4 linked regions of the Caenorhabditis elegans genome follow. The protein of the gene in region 4 interacts with the protein of the main gene of each other region in a pairwise test. Each region holds a gene or a part of one and is shown on either strand. Other genes may lie near its edges.

Region 1 (4,012 bases), 6.0 Mb from region 4:
AAATCTATCATTTTTACAAATTGTTCAAAACAGTTCCATTTCTATTGTTGTCTCTATTTCTCTCCCGTCTGCCAATACTATTTCACTGTCGTTGCAAGTGTTTTGTTAGTTAAAAAGGTCAGGTCATTTCCTCAATCTGTTCGCACCGTGCAGAGTATCGCACCGCAATAAACATATATCCAGAAGAAAGGAAAGATGACAGTCTTCTCTTTCTTGTTTCCCTCTACTTTTTGCTCACTTGTTGTGGTCATAGTCATCTGCTCAACATCACTCTTAACACATTGCACAACAGCTTTTTTTAAATTTTCTTTAAAATATGTCTTTATTTTGAGACATTTGCATCAAACTCCCGTTTTTCTTTCAGATATGAATACTAGCAATTCAACATCAACTTCATTTGGTAGTGATCAAATGGATATTGAAAATCACTCACCAAAGCTATCCGGTGTTGCTCCCAAAAGACGAAGAATTGATAAATCTTCAACTTCATCGGAAGCAAAGATACAAAGAATGGAAGACGCGATGAAGAAAAAATTGGAAAAGGAACAGAAAGAAAAAGCTCGATTGAAGAAACGAGAAGAGACTTTGAAGAAGAAATCTGAAACAGCTGCAGCAAAGAAGAACAAAATTGTTGGAGCTCGTAAGTTAACCAAAATAAATATGCTCAACATTCTGTAAATCACTTTATCATCCCACAATCAAAACCTTAACTGTTACCAAAATTGAACTCGAAAGGTTTTCAGCAAGCGAAGACCCGAAAATTCGAGCTCTCCAATGTGATATCTGCTTTGCATTATTTAAAAATGCTGATAAGAAAAAACGCCATGACCATTCTCATAAAGATGAGCCAGAGGTATACTGTCCAATGTGCAATGCTCCAATCAAGTATAAATACAACTTGAAGCAACATATGAACAAATGTCAACCGAGCCAGAAAGAAATGGAACAAGGCAGTGTGAGTTGAAACTTTTAAGCAAAATGTGTTATATTTTGAATTTCGAAAACTTTTTTCAGATGCTCGCCAAAGCTTACCCGGACTACTTACGTCAACTTCAAGAAGCTGCAGTTAATCCGTCTCTTCCAATGCCAACTTTGAATGGAATGCCATACAGAATGGATCGATATTCATTTGTCACTGGATTCGATATGAGTCTTGATGTTCATTTGGATGTGATGCTCCCGAAATATCCCACAGACGTTTTTGTATGTAATTTGCAGTTATACGTAACATTATGATAATAGTATTTTTTTAGTCAGAAGATGAGGACGCCTTAGACGATGTCAATTTGTTTGATGAGAAGTGATTAGATATTTGTATTCGTTATGGAATTTCATAATTGTCAATTCTTTGTTCATTTTGCCACAGCTGGTATTTCAATCTACATTTTTTCTCGTTAATAAACATCATACGGAATTATTTTTGAAAATTAATTCGAAGCATCAAACTTAAAAGTATAGCTTGGATCGGGCAAATAATTTTGGAACTTTAGCAAACTATATTCTCGTGTTACTAAACATTTTTTCCAGTGAGACTACCGCGTTCTTCTCTCTCACATACAAGACCCCCCACCCGTCCATTTCAAATTCGCTCTATTGAACTACATGTTTCAAACACCGCAAATTTGAGCTCACACAGCTGAGCTCTCATGCTTTTATCAGTTTTTTCTTCTCTCATCCAACTAAATTATCTGTTTAATTTCTCGATTTCTATTCGTTGGTTGTCATAGTGACGATCGATAATTATAATAAAGCACAAGGACTGATTATATACTCAAAAATTATGAAAAAATGCTTACATTTATACTTTGTCTTATGTACATTTTAAATTGATGATTCTTCATGAAAAGCTATGTACCAACAAACTTTGAAAATTTTGTTTCAGTCATGGCAACCACCGAACAACTGGCTAATACCACGCAAAAAGAGCCTGTTATTGATTTAGATCAAGATAGCAACATGGAAATTGCTCATAAAATACAAAACCAAACAAAAAGACTCCCAATTTCCGAACCGGCAAATAAAAATAAAAGTGAGATTTTAAAAATGTATGATTATTGCAATGCATGATTATTAATTTGTGACCTTCAATGTTTTCTTCATTTTTAAAGCTTTAGATGTCACAAGCAAGCAGAATAAAGAAACAAATAGAAAAACATTTGAAAAATCAAAAAGAATGGCAACGTCAACGATTCAAGATCGTGTTTTGAGGACTCAAAAAACTCGAAAAGACAAAGAAAGCACTACTGAAAAAGTCAATGCAATACTTAAAAAATCGGCGAAACAAATTAAAGTCCGAGAAGAGGAAGAAGGAGATGATGATTTGGAAGACGAGTTGACATTGTACCCATCTAAAAGAAAAATGATGGTAGGGTCAAAAAATCGAAAAAGGACTATAAAGCCAAATCGGGATACTATCGCAGAAGAGCAAGAAACTGACGGAGAACACGGAGTAAAGCAAAGTGAGTTATAAATAATAATATTTTTTAAAAATCTATATACATAGTCATCAAAAACTTATTCGGTTCATTTTCACACCTATTCAAAAAACAGAAATTAGCTTGCATATCAGATTTCGAGAAGAGTTTAAGTTTTGAATAGATTATAAAACAAAATATAAACGACATGTTTTTGAAATTTGGGGTAAATTGGCGCACTTCATATGTGATGAAGAATATCTCACTTTAGTTTGAAATTAGTTTAAACATCTATATTCCAGGAGCATTTGATCCAAAGCAAAGACATCGTCAATGTCCAGAATGTCTACTTCTTTTCTCAACTCCGGACAAACTGAAGCGTCATATGAAATCGCATGGAGACGTTCCAGATGTATACTGCTCACTTTGTAACACTCCTATTAAGTTTAAGTATAATTTGAGAGTGCACCTAGAGAAGTGTTATGATAAAATGAAACTCAGTCTACATGATAGTGTGAGTTTTCATATTAAATTTTAATAGTGGTAACGTCTTTACATTTTTTATTAATTTCTCATTATTTTGAAAATTTCAGATGCTCTCAAAGGTGTATCCTGATTTCGTGCGAAAACTTCAAGAAGCTGCAAAAAATCCCGTTCTCCCAATGCCAACTTTAGAAGGAATGCCATACGAATTCACTTTAAAAGGAGTTGTTGGATTCGATACGTCTTTGGATATCACTAAGGATTTAATGTTAGCAAAATATGAGCAAAAGAAACAAAGAGAGGTTAGTAACTATTAATTATTTGATTTTATTTAAAAAGTATTTTTCCAGTTAGCAGGAATTGATTCGGACGATTCGGACGAATTGGACTATTTTGATGATTTCCCAGATGAATGAGATTTTCCACGATAACGATTGCACGAATTGAAATTAATTTATTGAAAACTATACAACTTCCGCGATCTCTCACAAAATTTGCGGCTATTATATTTGTTCACTGTAATTTGTATTAATGTACATTTCATTCCATGATGAATAAATTGTTCAAAATAAGTTTAGAATATTCTAATTTCAAAACAAATATCAAGTGCAAATGGAAATTCATCTGATTGGTTTTAGCAATTGTATGTGGTGCGGTGTGAGATTTTGTTGTCGTGTGTGCATTGTTGCGTCTAAAATACCAATTTCCTGCTGGATACATCACAAAATAACCATGGCAAAGCCTATTTAATTATACTGACATTTTCTTAGTTTGAAAATATTCTGAGCAGAAAATACCAACAAAAAAACTACGAGTGCTGAAAATATTTGAAACAACGCAATTTCATATGAAACAGTTTTTTGTGAATCCTCGTGCAAATTTTACGATATTTATAAAATTATATTCATATCGAGTACTCGAGTACATATCAAGTAGATAAGTAGGCACACAGACAAAACTAAATATCTATTTGTATTTCTTATCTTTTTCTGTTCCTTCTCTCAATCGGATATTTTTCTTACTATGAAACCGTTTATCCACCTACGCAACAATTTTTGTAGCTTTGTTTTCTGAGGATTTCCTTCAAATTAACTGTGATCTAATTGATCATGCAT
Region 2 (7,646 bases), on a different chromosome or scaffold from region 4:
ACTGTCTTTGTTTCTGCCTATATTTTAATTGCCATGGTAGTAAGAGCATTCCGAGACTCTCTTAGTCTCACAAATTATAAATTTATCGCGATTAACACATTTGTAAGTTATTACTATCTGGTAAAGCATTTCAAAATTGAGATTTCAGATATTTCCTTACGTGTCATTGCTACTTTCTATGACAATTTTGGTGACCACCAGGAACGAGTTCCAGAGAAGACAACTCCGAGAGCTGAACCAAAATGGGAAAGGAGTATCGCAAACTTATTTCAATCTATATCAGCGGCAATGGAGCGTTATTTCCGAGAGAAAATGAATTTATCATAAATATTTTGTGACTAGAAATTGTGTGAATAATGTAAATTCGGGTCATCGTTTTTTTTTAATTGTATAAATTTAATTAATGAATATATATTTTTTTAATTTCTTATTCTGCATATTTTATATAAAAAGTGTTCTATTATTTGTTGGATTGTTGTTTTTAGGGCTATTAAATAGGGCATTTTCTCAATTTTTATATCATAGAGCGCGTATATGGATTTGTTTTTTTTTTTGTTGAAAAAAAAGAAAAACTAAAGCTGTTCTTTAAAATAATTTAAATAGGTATGTATGTATTTGAATATGTGGTTGAATAAAAGCAACAAATACGTGGTTTTGTAGCAATTTTCAGAAAATAGCTAAGCCAGAATACTTCCGTTGTTACATCTTGTCCTATAATCATTTTCAAACAAATTGTTCAGTTTTGTGGGTTCGGTTAAAAGATATAACATGATAAGGTTTCGATCTGATATGATCGGAACACGTTTTCTGTTTTCACTTTTTCAATCACAGACGACTATGTCTGCCATCCTCTTGTCTTACTCTAACATCATTTGAAAAATCTTAAATTGATTAGGTTTTTTGTGGAATTTTAAAGATAGCTTAGTATTGAAATTTTTTTGAATGTTACAATTGGAGTGGCATGGATTCATTGAGATGGGTTCCACCGCAAAAATAATGTTTATACCTACTTCAAATTTTTTGGGGATATTCTTTAAAACTTCTAAAAAGGGAAACGAGCAGTCGAAAAATAAGAAAAAATGCAAAAAATTATAGTTTTGTTTCTAAAAAATTGAAATGTATTTGATATCAAATTTGATAAATATGCTATTATAATGAGTTTTACCGGCATTTCGAAGTTTTCCTTCCTTGAATTTAGTTACTTTCCAAATTTACATCATAAATCTCTTTCTTATAAAATAAAAATTCATCTCTACACAAAACAATGTTCAAAAGAGCATCAAAAAGAGCACTTTGTTCGTGAGATGTGAAGAGAAAGGGTCAACACATGTTATTTATCACCGTAAGTCCGTTGAGGGGCCGCCACTATACGGGTTGAAAAGACGAGAGATACACCCCGCAAAAGAGACCCAGAGAGTGCGATGGAGCGCGTTTGCATTTCTTACTCAGTGTTCACCCGTTCTATCGATTCCATCGACAGTATTTTTAAACTCCACAGGGTTATTAATTACTAAAAATGTGTTATTTGAGAATTTATTGATTTTGAATTTTTCTCAATTTTTTTTGTTAAAAATTTATCGAATATGTTCACCGAATACAGTATTTTTTCAGAAAATGGAACCTGGTTCGGGTTCTCCGTTATCGGCTCGAGCGAAATTTCAATTCGAAGGTTCAAATAACGATGAGGTGAGGTTTTGTTTCCCACACATTCAAACTTGTGAAATTTTTTTTTAATTTAAAAAATAGTACATACTTAAATTACTTTTTGACAAAAGTATCATTCCACGAATTTTCAGCTAAGTTTCGACAAGGATGACATCATCACAATAACACAGCAGCAAGAAGGCGGATGGTGGGAAGGAACACATGAAGGAGTGACCGGATGGTTTCCGTGTGCCTATGTAACTCTCATCACAGAAAAAGGTAACTTGAATCGGAAAATTCGAGCTAATACCCACAAATTGCAGACAAACTCCAGCGATCTCGATCCGTCCCAAATGCAACTGCAAAAGGTATATCTCATGAAGATTTACTCGTTGAGACAATTCAAATTTAAAAATTCAGAAGTGGTATCCGTCGGAGCTCAACCAGATTATCGAGACCTTGTGCTCAAAAGTTATATTGAATCGGAAAAGGAGTACATGCAAAGCTTGCTCAAAACGTTGCAATCTCTATTGATTCCAATTGGGGCATCTAAAATGTGAGTTTTAAAATGTTTTTTTTAACTTTCAAAATGTGAATTTAATTCATTGCGGATTTTTCTTATTGCTTTTTTTGTTGATCAATCCAGATTCTAAAAATTGATAACTTGAAATTTGGAATGATGGGCACCTCTGCGCTATGAAAAAAAGTATCTTAAAAAGTGGGGCGAGTAGCTCACTGTTTCAAAATACAGTCACAGGTCCCATTTTTCAAAAAAAAATTGAGTCTAGCTAAAGCTTTAAAAAAGTATACCTAAATTATTACCTAAATTATTCATATTTATTTACAATTTACTTTGAGATTTACATTGAGAAAAACATCAAGTTCCATTGCATTTCCGGTGGATTTTCATTTTTGGGTACGACAATAATACATTTTTGACAATTTTCAGCTTGACGGCTCCAGAATACTGTACGTTGGTTGGGAATTTCGAAGTAATTTACACTCTGAAACGTGATCTTTTTGAACAACTGGAGCGTGAGCAAAAGTGAGTTTTAATTTCTCCAACCTTCTTCAACTTTCTTATTTCAGTGAGGAGCTTCCAAAAATGAGAGTCGGTGGAATGTTCATGAATGCTGCTCTTGAGCTCAGAACGGCACTAATGAGTTATGCTGACAATCATCCAGACGCTGTCGAAGTTCTCAAGAAGAAACAGTAAGTTTTGACAGAGCTAGAGAATGTATCGAATGTATTGTTTCGCGTTTTCAGGAAGGAGTTGGAAAAGGTGGTAAAGTCGCAGGATCGGGAGTACAAGGAATTGGTGTTAGGACTCAGTGAGCCACTCCGGCACGTCGAGAGGTACTACAACTTGCTCCAGGAGCTTGAGCGAATTGTTCCGGTGAGTATTTGAATCTAAATGAGAAAAAAAAACATAGGTCAATCGATTCATTAAACTCTGGAATTTTTTTTCATAGAGAAAGCACAGTTGTTTAATTAAAATACATCATTTTTGTGAAAATTTTATTATGATAATTTTTTTATGTTAAATTATCAAGTCTACTCATGTGAACAAACGTTGTTAATGCATAATAATTTTTATATCATTTTGAGTCAATGAGATCATCATCAAAAAAATTTTCAGGCGAATCATCCGGACCGTGGAGATTTACAACGTGGATCGGCAGTTTTTCGGGAAACAAAGGTGCGTTGTTTTAAAAATATTAGAAACACAAATCTAACTGACTCACAAGAATTAGGATCAACAAGTTTTAAAATCAAACTATTTTTAGGATTTGTGTGAAACCCTTCGTAAGCAGAAAGAAGCCCAACTCGACTTCTTGTTTGTGTCAAAAGTGGACAAGGTGGTTTCAGCGTCAGAACGAGGATCTATTCTCTATGTGGGTGTTGCAAATGTGGAATACAAGAAAGCGGATGCAGTGGATCGGTGAGTTGCCGAAAATTTTACCTGTTCAAATTTAGAAGTGATTTCAGATTCGTGGCATTGTTCACTAAATACATTATGTTTTTCGAAGTCACCAAGGATATGACATACGACATTAAGGAGAAGTTTACAGTGTCCGGTTTTATTGTTCGGAAAAAGGAAGCTACTGAAATTTCATTTGGTAAAATATTCGGATAAAAAATTAAAATTAAAAAAAAAAACAAATTAGTAACCCAAGTTTTTCTAGATCGCCCCAACACTGGAGAATTCACTCTAACGATGGTTTCAACCGGGGGTGAGGTGGAGAGATTCCTTGTTGCTTTGGCGAAAGCTGAAAACGTGGCAATCATCACTCCGACGACAACTATCTTGAGGAGACCTTCCAAAAATGCTAACGATACAATGAATCAATCACAGACTCAAGGAGCAGAGACTCCTCTGGTCGCAAAACCCCCACTTCATCCCCCAGGAAACTCGGATCAACAGTATAGTATGATGAACAAAAGAAAAAGCTCGAAGAAGTGAGTGTTTTCATGTTAACCGTGTAAAATTGGAATGAACAGACAATTATCAAAAATGTCTTCGCAACGTTTAACCCTCAATTATTTTCGATTAAGTTATATTTCTTTTCGCCGCCCGGTTAGCTCAGTCGGTAGAGCACCAGACTCTTAATCTGGTTCTCGCGGGTTCGAGCCCCGCATTGGGCTTAGTTTTTTGTTCGTTGCGATTGGTTTTCCTATTACAAGTATTTAAAGAAATTCCATGATTTGCCAAATTTTGAGATTAAATTCGTGATACCAGTTTGTATTATTCTCAAAACTTCAAAAGTAGTACCAAAACGGAAAAAAATTAAAAAAAATTTTTTTTGAATATTAAACACTGTATTGAAAAAAAACAGCGTGGCGTTTATGCACAGATTTAAAAAAACATAATTTTTGAAATCTGTTCAAACACGCTACGCAGTTTTTTCTCAGTGAAAGTGTACATACCACATACCGAGACGAACAAGTGGCGTCAATCACATTACTGTCCTTGAAAAACGTGACATATTTCTATTTGAAAGGTCGCACCACATCTACTTTTGCCGCCCGGTTAGCTCAGTCGGTAGAGCACCAGACTCTTAATCTGGTTGTCGCGGGTTCGAGCCCCGCATTGGGCTTACGCTTTTGTCTATCTCAAATGATCATTAAAAAAACTTTACTATAAAATTTACTCACTTTTCTAAATTGGGGTGCGAAGTTTCTAGGTGGAATATTTTTTCAACATTAAAGGAATTTTCTTATTAAATCCTATACACTTTTTGAAAGTATCGCTATTCAATTAATTTTCAATGTCGCGAGAAATCAATTTTGCCGGTTTGTTTATTTTAACAGTGTTGGCAACGACCGACGACCTAACAAATTTCAACACACTATTACACTAAAAAGTGCGAGACACTTCCTGACAGCCACAAAGTGCGCCTGACATTTTCACTTTTTAAATTACACGCGCCTCGGTTCCTATCGCCGCCCGGTTAGCTCAGTCGGTAGAGCACCAGACTCTTAATCTGGTTGTCGCGGGTTCGAGCCCCGCATTGGGCTTACCTTTTTTTGCATTTGTCCTCTAGACAAATGTATGCAAAAAGATATTGCAAATACGATTTTGATGGGATGGGATAGAGTATGAAGCGAAAAATTTGATGTAAATTACTACTTAGATTAATTGGTATTTATGTATTAGATGGACAAATCTCTTCTCACCAAAAATCTCTATGTTTTTCGATCCCTCGATTTTGGATAACAAGACTTGGCAACATTAACGCTCACCAATTTAGGCAACACAAGAAATTGTGTGTTCTTCACGGATCAAAACACGAAGACTTTCTAACTGTCGCATGTGAAATTTCGGACTCAATAGATCACGAAGAATAGTTCGTAACAGATACAATGGCTATTGAGATAGGAGAAATTAGGGTGAAAAGTTTTTTGTGTGGACAATATAAAAAATAATGATAAAAAACAAATAAAACATGGAACGAGACCTAAATTTTGAAATTTTCAGCTTTGATGACAGTTTAAACTTGGGAAATATGAAGTTCGATCATGAACTCGGAATGGTGCTCCCTGAAGGATTTGAGCTGCCAACAAGCAGTCGCAATTCAAGGAATACTGCAGGTAGGAGATATTTTGTTATTTATTGTTTTCTCTGTCGTGATTATGATTATCAACTAACAAAAATCTTTTTCAGATAACCTGCAATTCTCCCAGTTCCCATCGTTTTTCCTAAGCGGGAACGCCGGCAAACGAGGTGATCGTAACATTCGACTTCGAAAAGACGCGGCTCGTGATGAGGAGATTGAGTTTGAGACACTTCGAATTTTGGAAGGATACTGTGTGGAAACTGGTGGCGGACAGTCGGACTTCCATGCAAATGAAAGTTATCAACAACCACATTTGATTGTTGCAGAAGATGAGAAGATTCTGATGGAGGAGATGATTGGAGATGAAGTTGTTTTGCAAGAGAAGTAAGTTTTTTTTTGAACGATGAGACCTTAGAAGAGTCCAGTTCAGTTTTTCTAGGGTCAAGATTGTACACAATTTGTAAAAAAATTTAACCTTTTCGTTTCCTCTTCTCTTGCTGAATCATAGATATTAGGGTGGCGTATATGAAAAAATTGGGTGGGAAAATAACGGACGAATAGGAAAATCGATAATTGATTGATAAGAAAAACTAACTTCAGCAAACCTGAAATATCTAGAAACTTTGCAAAATTGGAATCCCCCCCCCCCCCCAAATTGATGTTTTTTTAGTAAAGAAGTTGATTTTTCTAAGGTTCTTTTAAAATTTCTGTTTTTTTTTTTCAAATATGTCCAGTGTTGATTCCCAAGTAGAGTAATTTGGGCACGTGGCTCAGCTTTGAACAATTTTTTAGTTCTCAATTCAAAACCGGCCAAAACGTTTTCCACTGTGTATTTAAAACTGAATGAGTTCTCAACTGATTTCGCATGGTTAAGAACGTGCTGACGTCACATTTTTAGCAACAAAAATCCCCCATATTTTGTAGATCAAACCGTAATCGGACAGCCTTGCACAACGTGCCAATAGTGATATTCCTAACAAGGCCCTTCATTTCGAAGCCAAAAAGAGATCAAACATTTACTTTCTGTAAAAATATAATTTTTGATCACCAGTAAATAATGATTGTTTTCATCTAGTCATGTTTGCTTCTTCTTTTTCTTCTTTTGTCTGTTTTGCATATCGTCCATTTTCAGTTATTATTTTTCGTACTGCTTTTAAAGAAAAGTAATAAGCTGACAAGGAAAAACAAGTATCCCCAAAGATAACAAGATGAAGAGGGGATAATTTTTGTAGAGACAATTTTTTGTAGTTTCCTTGTTTACTGATATTATTTGGTATTATAGTATTATAGCCGTTCATCGGAAATTGTTGTCTGATGAAAAACAGGACGTGAGTTGTTTTTTAGATAACTTTCAGTAGGATAGCTTGTTTTGTCATGTTTTCGACCTTTTTCGACCTTTAAGTGAAAACCATAACAATCTTTATTTCAAATTTCCCTTCACAAGTGTGTAATTTAAATAAATTTATAAGCTATTCTTCAACGAACATAAAAAGATTCGTGCATTTAGAAAACATTTCAAATTTATCTTTAAAACTTTATGTACATCGAACTTAGTTAGACATCGTCTATAAATCTGTCATTTTCATTCGTCGTACTCCTTGAGCACATCGGATGTATTTAGTTTGAACTTGAATAAGTGACCAGTATTTCCCAATGGTCAATTCGCTCTTGCTCCAACGACAATATCTATTCCTCCGACTTGCTCTCTCTTCGTCTATCTAGATTTCCGTTTCATTGCTCATTTGTCACCTCTTCTTTTTTTTTCAGAAGTATTGTGGATGCTGTGTACGCCATCAAAGATCAACTTTCGTTCCTTCAGACCGAATTTCAAAAACTAGCAAAAGTGAGTGAAAAATTCTTCTCTTCTGGTCTGTCACATCTAGCACCAATAATTTCATTTTTCCAGGTTGTTGAATCCGAACAAAAAGCACGCCGTCGTCTGGA
Region 3 (6,837 bases), on a different chromosome or scaffold from region 4:
CTTGCCAGAAAATTTCCATTCCGAAAAATTGCCGGTTCACCTAACTTGTCAGAAAATTTCCATTCCGAAAAATTGCCGGTTTGCCTAACTTGCCAGAAAATTCAATTATGGCAATGTTGCGATTATCGTTTTGAAATTCTGAAATTTCCAGAAAATAAACTTGCAAACCCACAACTTGCCGAAGTGTTTTTTTCCGGCAAATTGCCGATTTGCCGCACTTGCCGGAAATTTTCCTTTCCGTCAAATTGCCGAATTGCCGGAAATTTCAATTCCGGCAATTTGTCGATTTGCCGGAAATTTACAAATTCGGCAATTTGCTGGTTTGACAGAAAATTTCCATTCCGAAAAATTGCCGGTTTGCCTAACTTGTCAGAAAATATCCAGTCCGGCAAATTGCCGGTTCGCCGAACTTGCCGGAAATGTTCCATTCCGGCAAAAATATTTAGACTACAAGGAGAATAAATGAATAAGAACACATTTTCAAAAAGTACAACCATCGGATAAATTCCATAATTTATTTAACAACAGATTCTTTATCATCATTATCATTTTGTAACAAACACAAATTATCAGCAACAAAACGGCACAGCTCTTCCAAATCCAAAGTTTTATTGTTTTTAATTAGTTGATCTAACATGTCTTTAGGAATTGAGGTGACTAGGGGAGCAGCTTTTGGTACCGTTTGCTTAACATATTCGTCTGCCAACTCGGCAAGTTTTGTCTCACGATGATGCTCCTGTAATAAGTTATTTTTAAAAAAATATTCTGGAAAAATTTACAATTTTATTGGGAAATTCTAAAAAATGAACTAAAATTACATGATTCGTCTCGAAATAAAATTTTTTTCAACTAGAACTTTAGGCTAATTTAGGCCAATTTTTGAGCATTCTCCCCAATGTTTCAGTTAACGGGATTTTCTTCATTTTGACTGTTTCAGGTAAGAATTTATATAAACGAACATGTTCATGTGCAGATATTTGATACAAATGCTGTCTCCACTCCATTTGCTGCTTTGCTCGGATTTTTCGGGAACCTAAAGTCCCAATTACTCCGTTTTTTAGACGTAGGTCTTCAGCAGCTTTTTCAAATTCTTCTCGAGCACTGGCGAGCCTCTATAATTTGGTTAATAATTTTAAAATTGACTTTTCAAAAGAAAAAGTCGGAAATTCAGAAATTCCACAAAAAAAGTTTAAAAACGGGATTTACAAACTAAGGAGAACTCCCCGACCAATCACCATCTTTGAACTACGCCCACTCGATCTGATTGGTGGAAAAGTGGGCGGAGCAAATCGCTGATTGGTCGCAGTTCTCAGTTTTGCATTTTTGAAAAAACTCAAACTAAAGTAGGACTTTTTTATTTATTCGCTATTTTTTTGACAAATCGGCAAATCGGCAAATTGAAAAATTCCGGCAAATCGGCAAATTGAAAATTTTCGGCAAAACGGCAAATTGAAAAATTCCGGCAAACCGGCAAATTGAAAATTTCCGGCAAATCGGCAAATTGAAAACTTCCGGCAAATCGGCAAACTGATGGAATTGAAAATTTCCGGCAAATCGGCAAATTGCAGGAATTGAAAAATTTCCAGCAATTCGACAAATCAACAAATTGCCGGTATTGAAAGTTTCCGGCAAATCGGCATATTGCCGGAATTTATAATTTCTGGCAAATCGGAAAATTGCCGTTATTGAAAATTCCCGGCAAATCGGCAAATTGCCGGAATTGAAAAATTCCGGCAAATCGGTAAATTGAAAATTTCCGCAAATCGTCAAACTTCAGGAGTTGAAAATTTCCGGCAAATCGACAAATTGCCGGAATTGAAAATTTCTGGCAAATCGGCTAACCGGCAAAATAAATTTTCGGCAAATTGGTCACTTTTTTTTTGAAATTTAGAGAAAAAACCTACATGAAAATTCAAATTAACAGTTTCATCCTGTGCAAACATTTCAGCAAACTTCTTATTCAATTCCATTTTCTCATTTTCATATTCCAATTTCAGCCGTTCTACTCCAATTTCTGACATCATTTTTCTCAAATCCACTGCAAAATTCGCATTTTTCTCTTTTATCGCCGTTTTATTTTTGAGAAGTTGAATGCGTTTTTTGATTTGATTACTTCGAATTTCCGCATGCTTTCGTTGATCTTTTTTCTTTTGAACACACTTTCGGGCGTACTCACGGTTTTTGGCCATTTGACGGTGACGTTCCTGAATAATTTGGATTTAAAATTGATATTCTTGCCAAAGTTGAAATTTCCGGCAAATTGGCAAATTGCCGATATTGAAATTTCCAGCAAATCGGCATTTTTTGTCGAAAATCAAAATTCCGGCAAATCGGCAGTTTTTTGCCGAAAATCAAAATTCCGGCAGATCGGCAGTTTTATTGCGGAAAAGCAAAATTTCCGGCAAATCGGCATTTTTTTTTTGCTGAAAATCAAATTTTCCGGCAAATTTTTTTCGGGCAAAATTGGGAAATCGAAAAATTGCCGGAATTGAAAATTTCCGGCAAATCGGCAAATTGATGGAATTGAAAATTTCCGGCAAATCGGCAAAATCGATGGAATTGAAAATTTCCGGCAAATCGGTAAGTTTCAGGAATTGAAAACTTCCAGCAAATCGGCAAATCAGCAAACTGCCGGAATTTAAAGCTTCCGGCAAATCGGAAAATCGGTACATTTTCGGAATTGAAAACTTCCGGCAAACGGCAAATCGGCAGTTTTTTTTTGCCGGAAATCATAATTTTTTGCAAATCGGCAAACCATCAATTTGCCGATTTGCCAAATTCGTCGACAAAAAAATTTGCTGAGCCCCAATTGCTATCCTGATTTGAGTGAGGCTTTTCAGAAAAATTTGGAAATTATTTTCAGATATAACAAATCTTTTTCTACACTACAAAAAATAGGCGTTAGGCGGGCATGTACATCTAACCTAAATTTTGTACTAGAAGTTGTAAAAAATCCACACAAACCTGTTCTCTCTTGTCCATCTTACTCGGATCTTTATTCAATTTCTTAAATTCCTCTTCCCACTCCAAATCCCCATCTGTATCCATCTTTGAGTAGCCTTCATTGTAATTATTATCAGTGTACTCATCTTCTATATCATCCAACATCTTCGCCTCTACTTCTTGTTTTATCTCCACTGGACCCATGTTTTGCAGTTGGCTCATTAAAAAGTTGAATACAAAGTTCTGGGAGCCTGACGATTCATTGTTATCTGACGACTCGTGTTCCAGCTTTACCGAATTCTGGTTGTTTTGCGTGGAGTCAAAGTGTTTTAGAATCATGTCACGACTGCCACTTGTTTCGTTATTCATTCTGTAAAATTTGGAATTTTTTGGTCTTGTCTGAAACTTTCGGGCCAGGCCCAATTGTGCATTTTAAAAAATTTTTCGCATCGTCTTTCGCTTATTGGTTCCTCGTCTTTCGCTTATTGGTTCGCGACTGTTTTTGTAACGAACTTATGAGAAAGTTTGCTGATTCTTATCAAAACACTAATTTTGCCGATTTGCCAGAAATTTTGATTTTCGGCAAATTGCCGATTTGCCAGAAATTTTAAAAGGGATTTTTCAACATTAATGTAGGAAAAAAGTTTGCCGATTAAAATTGAAATTTTGAAATTTCCAAAAAAAAAGTGCAAAATCATAATTTGCCAAACATTTTCGGCAAAAGGCGTTTTTCCGGAAATTTCGGCAAATCGACAGTTTGCCGCTTTTCCGATTTGGCGGAAATTTTTAATTCCTGCAATTTGCGGATTTGCCCGATTTGCCGGAAATTTCAATTCCGGCAATTTACCGATCTTCCGGAAATTTTAATTCCGGCAATTTGCCGATTTTCCGGAAATTTTCAGTTCCGGCATTTTGCCGATTTGCCGGAAATTTTTAATTCCGGCAATTTACCGGTAATTTTTAGGTCCGGCAATTTGCCGATTTGTCCGATCATCCGGGAATTTTAATTCCGGCATTTTACCGATTTAAAGGAAATTTCAATTCCGGCAATTTTCCGATTTGCCGGAAATTTTAATTCCGGCAATTTGCCGATATGCCCGATTTGCCGGAAATAGTTAATTCCGGCAATTTGCCAATTTACCGGAATTTTTTAATTCCGGCAATTTACCGGTAATTTTTAGGTCCGGCAATTTGCCGATTTGTCCGATCATCCGGGAATTTTAATTCCGGCATTTTACCGATTTAAAGGAAATTTCAGTTTCGACATATTGCTGATTTTCCGGAAGTTTTCAATTCCGGCAATTTGCCGATATGCCCGATTTGCCGGAAATAGTTAATTCCGGCAATTTTCCGATTTGCCGGAAATTTTAATTCCGGCAATTTGCCGATATGCCCGATTTGCCGGAAATAGTTAATTCCGGCAATTTTCCGATTTGCCGGAAATTTTTAATTCCGGCAATTTGCCGATATGCCCGATTTGCCGGAAATAGTTAATTCCGGCAATTTGCCAATTTACCGGAAATTTTTAATTCCGGCAATTTGCCGATTTGCCGGTAATTTTTTATTCCGGCAAATTGCCGACTTGCCGATTTCGCCAAACGACAATTGCCACCCACCCTGTTTTGGACGCGAGATATACATACACGTCGCCAGCAACCGGCAATTGCCAAAGTTTCTGCAACCGGCAGCTTCTGGTTGCGGAAACTTCGGAACTTCGGCAATTTGGCCCCTAATGTAAGAGCCCTGATGCCCATCGTGAACTCACTGATGCATTCAGGAATCTACAGTAATCATCAAGGGCGGAGCTTGATCCTTCCATATTTTCCTAACCAAAATTTCAAAACATACCTATCCCCAGTTCCTTAGATTCAAAATCGTCGTTGTCAGTCAAAAAAAAGGCAAGAGACCAATGGTGGGGGAGACAGTGTGTGTGTGTGTGTGTGTGTGATAAGAGAACACAACTTCTTGCTAAGAAGAGTGAAGACAGTGAATGCATGATGTTTGCCTGCATCATGACATCGTTTGATTGTATTGAATAGAGGAGGAGGGCAGCATCAAAAAAATGAGAAATAGTCAGAGGAAAGATGTGAGAGCCTTAGAGAAAACAGAGTAGGAAATACTGTGCGACATACTTGGTATCTGAGCAGTGGTTGAGACAGTGGGGGGGGGGGGGGACAGTGAAGGTGATTAGCAAGATTGATAAGAGACTGTTGATGGGGGATGGGCACTGATTGCTGTAATTTCCAATACATCGCAATTGTACATTCGATGGATGTAAATGCAATTGACAGATTAATTAGGTATTATATTGTATAAAAATGGGTTGGAAAGGCATATCAAAAGCTGAAAAAAGGTATCTATAGAAACCCATTCCAAAACCAAATTTCAGAAGCATCACGTGGTGCTAGGCTGTCCCATTACGGTTTGATCTACAAAAAATGCGGGAATTTTTCGCCCAAAAATATGTGACGTCAGCACGTTCTTAACCATGCAAAATCAGTTGAGAACTCTGCGTCTCTTTCCCCGCAATTTTTGTAGATCAAACCGAAATGGGACGCAATGAAGCATTACAATGAAGCATTACAGCGAAAAATGAAAGATAAATCTTTCCAGGACATGTAGCAAAAGCGGTTCTGTGGCTCGAGAAAGGTTTGAAAAAATGAAGAACAATGTATTCTTGAGCAGAATCCATGTAATATTTTGGTAGTTGAAACCCTGATTTTAGAATTTATCCAAATGAATTCTCGGAATTTTCAGTTTTAATAATATAATTCATTAGATTCACAGTGAAGTGAAACCTGATTAAAAAAGGATTAAAGGACGAAATATAATTTTTGTCTGAAGCCTACAGGAAAAATGTTTCATTGTTGAAGTGGAAATTTTCATTTTCGACAATTTGCCGGTTTGCCGGAAATTTTTGTTTTAGACAAATTGCCGATTTGTCGGAAACGTTCAGTTCCGGCAATTTGCCGATTTGCCGGAAATTTTCAGTTACGACAATTTGCCGATTTTCCAGGAATTTTCAGTTCCGGCAATTTTCTGATTTGCCAAAAAAAAATTACGGCAATTTGCCGAGTTGCCATTTGCCGGATATCAGATTTGCCGGAAATTTTTAGAGGGGTTTTTTTAAAGACGGAAACACTTAAAACTGTGCCTTTTTGAAAAATTCGTTTCCTGTTATGTTTAGATATTTTCATAGAACTTGCTTTTTTATTTTGACAAAAATTTCCGGCTATTGCAGTTTTTCAATCCGGCAAATAGACGATTTGCCAATTTGCCGATATGCTGTAAATTTTCAAATCCGGCAATTGCCGTTTTTCTGGCCAATTCGGCAAAAAGACATTTTGCCGATTTGCCGATTTGCCGGAAATTTTTAATTCCAGCAACTTGCCGATTTGAAATGTGTTTTCCAAGTCTACATTTAATGATAAAGTATAGAAAAGTATTTGATTTGATTGAAAACAACTATAATTTGGATTGGAAAAACTGAAAAAGTGCTGAAAGTTTATCTGGAAGTTGAAACTGCTCGAAAAAAAATGTAAACCTTTAAAAAAATTTTCGAGGACTTTTCAGTTTTTTAAATTTAAAGGGTGAAGTAATCTTTAGTAGTAGGAAAACTAGTTTTCAAAATCTTTCGTTTTAATAGGAATTTCAATATTTTATAGATTGACCAACCTAAAAAAGCTTTTTTTCATCAAGTTTTATTATCATATTGCATCCAGTTTTCCAGTTTTTTTTCTAGAATTCACTAAATTTATCAAAAATAGCGGCCCATGCAAATTTCCGGAAAATCGGCAAGTTGTCGGAATTGAAAATGTCCGTCAAATCGGCAAACCGGCGAATTGCCGATTTGCCAGAAAAACGGCCAAATTGTGGTTTAGCAAATTTTGTTTT
Region 4 (5,323 bases):
GCCATCCCATTCCGCCGGTCTCCACCACCTCTGCGTCTATCGCTGCTCCACACTATTTTGCCCCTACCCCAGCTTCAGTTCGGATGTCCGCAATCCGGATTTTGTTCGTTTCCTTCCTTTTTCGGGCGGATCAACGGCTTCTTATCTGATATGATTCGGTTTGAAGGAGATGAAGATGGTTGTGTTGGGGGAAGAAAAGAAGGAGAAGCCTAACCGGGGGAGATTGTCAGCCAGCCACCCCCTGCTGAGATATTGTGTTTAATGACATTTTCCATTTTTCCCGAATTATCTATTTTTACAACAATCCATACCTTTTTATCAGATTTTGCTAAAGTTTTGCCAACTTTCGCCAACCTTCGTTAGACATTTGTCAACTTTCAAAAAGCAATTGCAATAGTTCCAAACTGCTGCTCAATTTTTGACCAACTTTTTTGAATTGTTTCTATACTTTCAATATTTTTTAAAAACAACTTTCGCGAACTGTCGCTAGACTTTCGGCAAGAAACAACTTCTTCTGAATCTACGACAATTTTCTGCAACTGTTATCAGATCTTCGACATTTTGAGCAACGTTTGCCAACTTCTGTTAATTTTTTCTAGACTTTCAGCAATCCCCGCAAGGTTTTTACGAACTCCGACCAACCTTCGCCAAAATTTCATCAATTTTCACCAGTGTTTTTCAAGAAGTTGCGTTTTTCTCAAACTTGTGGTAGATCTTTGGCAGACTTTTGTTCAATTTCAGTCTATTTTAACTTTCGCTATACTATCACCAATTTTCATCAACTTTGTGCAACTTTCGTCAACCAATTTCCCTCTAATTTTCATTCCCAATTCCGCTTAAAGCTTCAACTAAAAGCAAAATAAAAAACCGAATATCCCCCAATTTTCCAATTTTCCTGCACCGGAAAAAACATAGAGCTTCTTCCCCTTCTTCTTCTACTCCATCTCCACCCACACATACTACCGGTTCTCCTAGATTTTCAGTCTAAACCATTTCAATTGTGTCTTACGGTAGTTTATCATGAGATTTAGATGGAATTGAAGAAGAGAGAAATGACACGAAAGAGTGTGTAAACTTTTTATTACATTTTGGAAGACTAACCATGTCGTAGTACACACTCAGGCTTTTTGGCTTTTTGTGTCTAGATTCCTCTGCATGATCTACAGAGATTTTTTTGGCAGATTGCCAAAATTTACTTAAATTTCTGACAAAAAAATTAAAATATTTTTTTAAAAAGATTTTTGTTTTAAAGTACTAAAACGTAACCTTCTGCAATTTCAGAAAGTTATAATCTAGATTATTAAAAAATCTCACAATTTAAAGTTTCCAGAAAATTTTTAAATCTGAAAATGATTTTGAAAAACAATTCGGCATTCGACAAAATTAATGTTTTGATTTAAATTTTTTTGAAATTCTCTTTTTTAAAAGTACCAGTTTTCAATATTTTGTTATCAGAAATATTTCAGAAAAATTTTGATTTAAAAAACATTAACTGAAAATTCAAAAAATATTTTTTTGTGTTGATTTTAGAAATTTTAAGATTTTTTAAAATTGGGTTTTGCAAATATTAATCTTTTGAAAATGTTTTAAACAAAAATTAACAATTTTTTAATATGAATATTTTAAAATTTCCCTTTAATTACACAATTTTTTCTACATTTCTCCAAATTAAAATAGTTAAAAGAATAATTTTCAAAAATAATTCAACATTTGAAACAAAAAACGGATATATGTATATATATATATATATTCTTATGTCTTATTTCCTTTTTTCCATTTCTAGATTATCCCAGCTTCTGACTCCCCTTAGCCTTTTTTTTCTAAAAATCTCAAATTTTTCCGTTTCAGACCCCTTCTAAATTTAAATCCACTCAAACAGATGGCCTTCCAGCCGGCGTTTAACGCCCGTCTGATAAACGAGGTTCGTAAGTACCCGTGCCTATATAATCATTCACGACGTGGCAGCGGGGACACAATGGAACGTCAACGACTTTGGGAATCAATCGCCAAAAATATTGACCCGAATTGTGCGGCAGAGTTTGCGAAGAAACGATGGTTGCAGCTGAGGGATCGATATCGGAAAGAATTAAAGATTGCAATTAAAAATGGATTTGTGACACCTGTTAGATGGTGTTATTTTAATCAATTATCGTGGTTGGACCCGTTTTTGAAGGATAATATGTAAGAATTGAATTTCATAATTATTTTTCAACTCGTTTTTTTCTGGCCATCACAAAGCTAATTTTTTAATATTTTTTCTAATATTTTTTTGTTGAAAAACCGCGAAATTTTTGGTTTGTAGGCATATCAAAACAAAAAACTGAAATTTAAAAAATAAGTTCACCTAATTTGAAATATATCTAAAGAGTCTAAATTAACACTTCAAAAATTCAGAAAAAAAAATTTGAAAAATCTCATTAAAAAATCAAAAGTTGTAGATAAAATCAAATTCAAAAAAAAACTTCAAAAATACTAAAACATTTAATTAAAATTCCAGAATTCTTTTTTTTCTTAAATTAAAAATTATAAAAATTAAAAAAAAAACAATTTATCGACAAAAAACTGATCGATTCGAAATTTAATATTTTGAAAAAAAATTAAAATTTTCTACAAAAAATTAATTCAAGATATATCAAAAAGAATCTGAAAAGTAAAAAATAATAATTTAGAACTCCGCGATTATAAGTTAAAATTCTCATCTTCAAAGTCTATTTTTTGCAGTGGTCAAGCAGCAGATGAAGGCAAAAAAACTGGTAAATCTGACTCTTTTGATGAGCCATCAGGCACACCGTTCAGCTGGTTCGGTTTTCCAAATTTAAATTCAATAAAAGACGAGATGGAAGATGATGATAGTGATCCAGCACTCGAATCTTCGGTTTTAGACCGACTACTTGCACAAACCGCCCAACGATTGGACAGTATATCCCCTGAAATTGAAAATGATGAATCTGGAACTCAAAGTCTCGATGGAAATCTAGATGGAGTTGATGGGGATGGAGATGAGGAGGAAGATCTTAAAATAAAAGATGAAGATGAAGTAGAGGAAGATGGCCCAGAAAAGGTGAAAAGTCAATCCGAAGCTATGGCGATGCTCAAGGAGGCTATAAGTGCTCAGAGCCAACAGCAGACTCAGCAGGCTCAACAGGTCCAGCAGGTCCAACAGACCCCACAGAAACCATCAGTGGAGTCCCTCATAGCAGCGAATCAGGCTAGATTTGCACACCATCTTGCTGCACAGCTCACTGGGATGAGTTCAATGCTCAATGGAGCCAGGAAATCCGAGGAGGCAGCGATCCCGCCGCTCCGACCTTCAACACCACCGCCAACCGCGTCCACTACGAGCCACTTCCATCCTTATAAAGAGGCGGCGAGGAATAGGCATAGGCAGCAGACTGCGGATAATGTTATGAGATATCATTTGCAACAGGTGAGCGGGTTTGGAACATTTGGTAAAAAAAATTTTTTTCGGAAGGATCGTGATTTTCCTGGATTTTTTGGAGATTTTTGATTTTTTTAAAATAATTTCTCTGAAACTTTCTTAAATTAAAAAAAAATTCTAGATTTTTTGTAAAAAATATTAGATGCGATTGAAAATAGTTTGCTGAATTCTTGGAAACTTCGGATTTAGTTCTGTTTTTTTTAATGTTACCTTTTTTCGGAAAATTTAGTGATTTTCAAGAAAAAATGTTAAAGTTAAAAAATTTTTTAATGAACTTTTCGGAATGATTTTTTGAAGGTTGAAGTGTATAATTTTCAGAATTTTTTTTTGGTTTTCTGAATTACATTTAATTACTTTCTAGATTATTAAAATTTAATTTTTATTAAAAAAATATATTCGGAAACATTTTAAGTGTTTCTAGTTAAAAAAAATTTTTCGAATTTAAATATTTATTTCAAGTTTTAAGAGATTTTTAAATCGAAGTTTCTGGATTTTCTTACCAAAATTAGGATTTTTTCTCAGCAAATTTCAAAAATTTATAACGTGTTCCTACATTAGAAATTTTAAGAAAGAATTTCTAGAATAATATAACTTTTTTCCAGGTCGGTCGGGTTGCTCTTGAATGGCTCAATGATGAGGATTTATTGTACAGCCGGATAATTGGGTTGAAGCTTAAGAAAATGGACCCGAAAAAACGGAAAAAGGTGAGAGATTGTTTTCAGATATATTCAACAAGTTCAGACTCCAACTTTTTTCAGGTCCGTCACCAAATAATGTCACTACTGGACGAAACCGATGACACCCACCATATTGTAGACAATGATGACTCTTGTAGCAGTCCATCAGCACATAGTCCAACCGGAGAGCACGATGAAGATTGCGCAGTTGAGCCAACGGCAAATGAAATTCCAACGGCTTGAAAATTAGTCTTTTGTTTGTAGTATATGGGTCCCCCCCCCCACGAAAAAATGATTTGCGCCTTCAAGCTAAAATGCAAAAATATGCCTGATCGGTTTAAAAGGCGCATAATTTATTTTCGTGTCGAGACCTAAATTCTGGTAGGCTACTGTAACATTGAAAAAACACTTCCTTTATTTTTCAAAATATCTATTTTGTGTTTTCTTATTGGTGCTCTCCTCATTTTATTAAATGTAGAAAACGAAAAATGTTCAAAAACTAGTTTTTAGTGTATTCTCACTCCCCGTCGGTCTAGTCAGTGCGCAATTCTTTCACTTTTCTTTTGTTCCCTCCATAATTTCAGCATTTTTTTTATTTTTTGAAATTAGTCTCTACAAACACCATCATCTTGCCTGTATATTTTTGTACCACGATTTTTTTATAATAAACGTGTATTTTTTGGTTTTGGACAGAGCGCGTGCTCCCTCCGACTCGCGGATTCTGAATTGTTCTGTGTATTTTGGAGATTTTCCTGAAATTGTTAATTTTTGGAGAAGAAGGAATTTTTATTTGCTAGACCTTTCTGGAAACAGCTAGATAACTCTAGTTTTTTAAAGGAGTTTTTAAAAAACTTCCGAAAATTTTTTTTTTTTTCAGAAGTTCTTGCCCAAATATTTCAGACATTTTTCAGAAGTTTTATCATATCAAATATATTTTGTAATTTTTCCCACATTTTTTCCAAAAATTTCCTTCACGTGAACTTCCACAATTTCAACCGATAACATCTTCCATGCAAAATGAATTATTTCCAACAATTTGTTTCAACTTTCCAACCGGTCAATTAAAGTTGCACAATGTATCAATTATTATTCTACAACGTCATCTGCGCGATCATGTTTTTCATGACTATAACCTCAAATTGTCTGAAAGGGAAACCGAAAGAGGGCAGGTTAGGATTAATGTTTCTAACTAAACGTGGGAGATTCC

The links.
Region 1: the proteins of madf-5 (region 4) and T22C8.3 interact in a two-hybrid assay, tested with the Caenorhabditis elegans proteins (one large-scale study listed by BioGRID).
Region 2: the proteins of madf-5 (region 4) and pix-1 interact in a two-hybrid assay, tested with the Caenorhabditis elegans proteins (one large-scale study listed by BioGRID).
Region 3: the proteins of madf-5 (region 4) and zip-12 interact in a two-hybrid assay, tested with the Caenorhabditis elegans proteins (one large-scale study listed by BioGRID).

What each region holds. Positions count from the first base shown.
Region 1 is NC_003280.10:8,619,847-8,623,858, reverse strand, and holds T22C8.3 (C2H2-type domain-containing protein), read left to right. Parts: upstream 1-1,875; 5' UTR 1,876-1,884; coding exon 1,885-2,029; intron 2,030-2,114; coding exon 2,115-2,459; intron 2,460-2,716; coding exon 2,717-2,928; intron 2,929-3,007; coding exon 3,008-3,199; intron 3,200-3,247; coding exon 3,248-3,313; 3' UTR 3,314-3,474; downstream 3,475-4,012. Other genes in the region: T22C8.4 (C2H2-type domain-containing protein), read left to right, coding at 367-640, 744-955, 1,015-1,203, 1,254-1,304.
Region 2 is NC_003284.9:13,725,688-13,733,333, forward strand, and holds the start of pix-1 (SH3 domain-containing protein), read left to right. Parts: upstream 1-1,605; 5' UTR 1,606-1,614; coding exon 1,615-1,686; intron 1,687-1,796; coding exon 1,797-1,923; intron 1,924-1,967; coding exon 1,968-2,012; intron 2,013-2,064; coding exon 2,065-2,200; intron 2,201-2,593; coding exon 2,594-2,689; intron 2,690-2,733; coding exon 2,734-2,856; intron 2,857-2,910; coding exon 2,911-3,040; intron 3,041-3,283; coding exon 3,284-3,343; intron 3,344-3,431; coding exon 3,432-3,586; intron 3,587-3,633; coding exon 3,634-3,764; intron 3,765-3,830; coding exon 3,831-4,104; coding exon of another isoform or gene 4,105-4,108; intron 4,109-4,210; exon of another isoform or gene 4,211-4,299; intron 4,300-4,663; exon of another isoform or gene 4,664-4,753; intron 4,754-5,070; exon of another isoform or gene 5,071-5,180; intron 5,181-5,623; coding exon 5,624-5,736; intron 5,737-5,809; coding exon 5,810-6,086; intron 6,087-7,469; coding exon 7,470-7,545; intron 7,546-7,608; coding exon 7,609-7,646. Other genes in the region: K11E4.6 (G_PROTEIN_RECEP_F1_2 domain-containing protein), read left to right, coding at 1-102, 149-316.
Region 3 is NC_003281.10:12,325,940-12,332,776, reverse strand, and holds zip-12 (BZIP domain-containing protein), read right to left. Parts: upstream 5,111-6,837; 5' UTR 4,831-5,110; coding exon of another isoform or gene 4,792-4,830; intron 3,314-4,791; 5' UTR 3,313-3,313; coding exon 2,965-3,312; intron 2,205-2,964; coding exon 1,905-2,204; intron 1,113-1,904; coding exon 960-1,112; intron 737-959; coding exon 515-736; 3' UTR 503-514; downstream 1-502.
Region 4 is NC_003280.10:14,571,767-14,577,089, forward strand, and holds madf-5 (Alcohol dehydrogenase transcription factor myb/sant-like protein), read left to right. Parts: upstream 1-1,848; 5' UTR 1,849-1,879; coding exon 1,880-2,181; intron 2,182-2,450; exon of another isoform or gene 2,451-2,643; intron 2,644-2,721; coding exon 2,722-3,427; intron 3,428-4,041; coding exon 4,042-4,143; intron 4,144-4,197; coding exon 4,198-4,359; 3' UTR 4,360-4,795; downstream 4,796-5,323. Other genes in the region: C01G12.13 (uncharacterized protein), read left to right, coding at 5,191-5,281.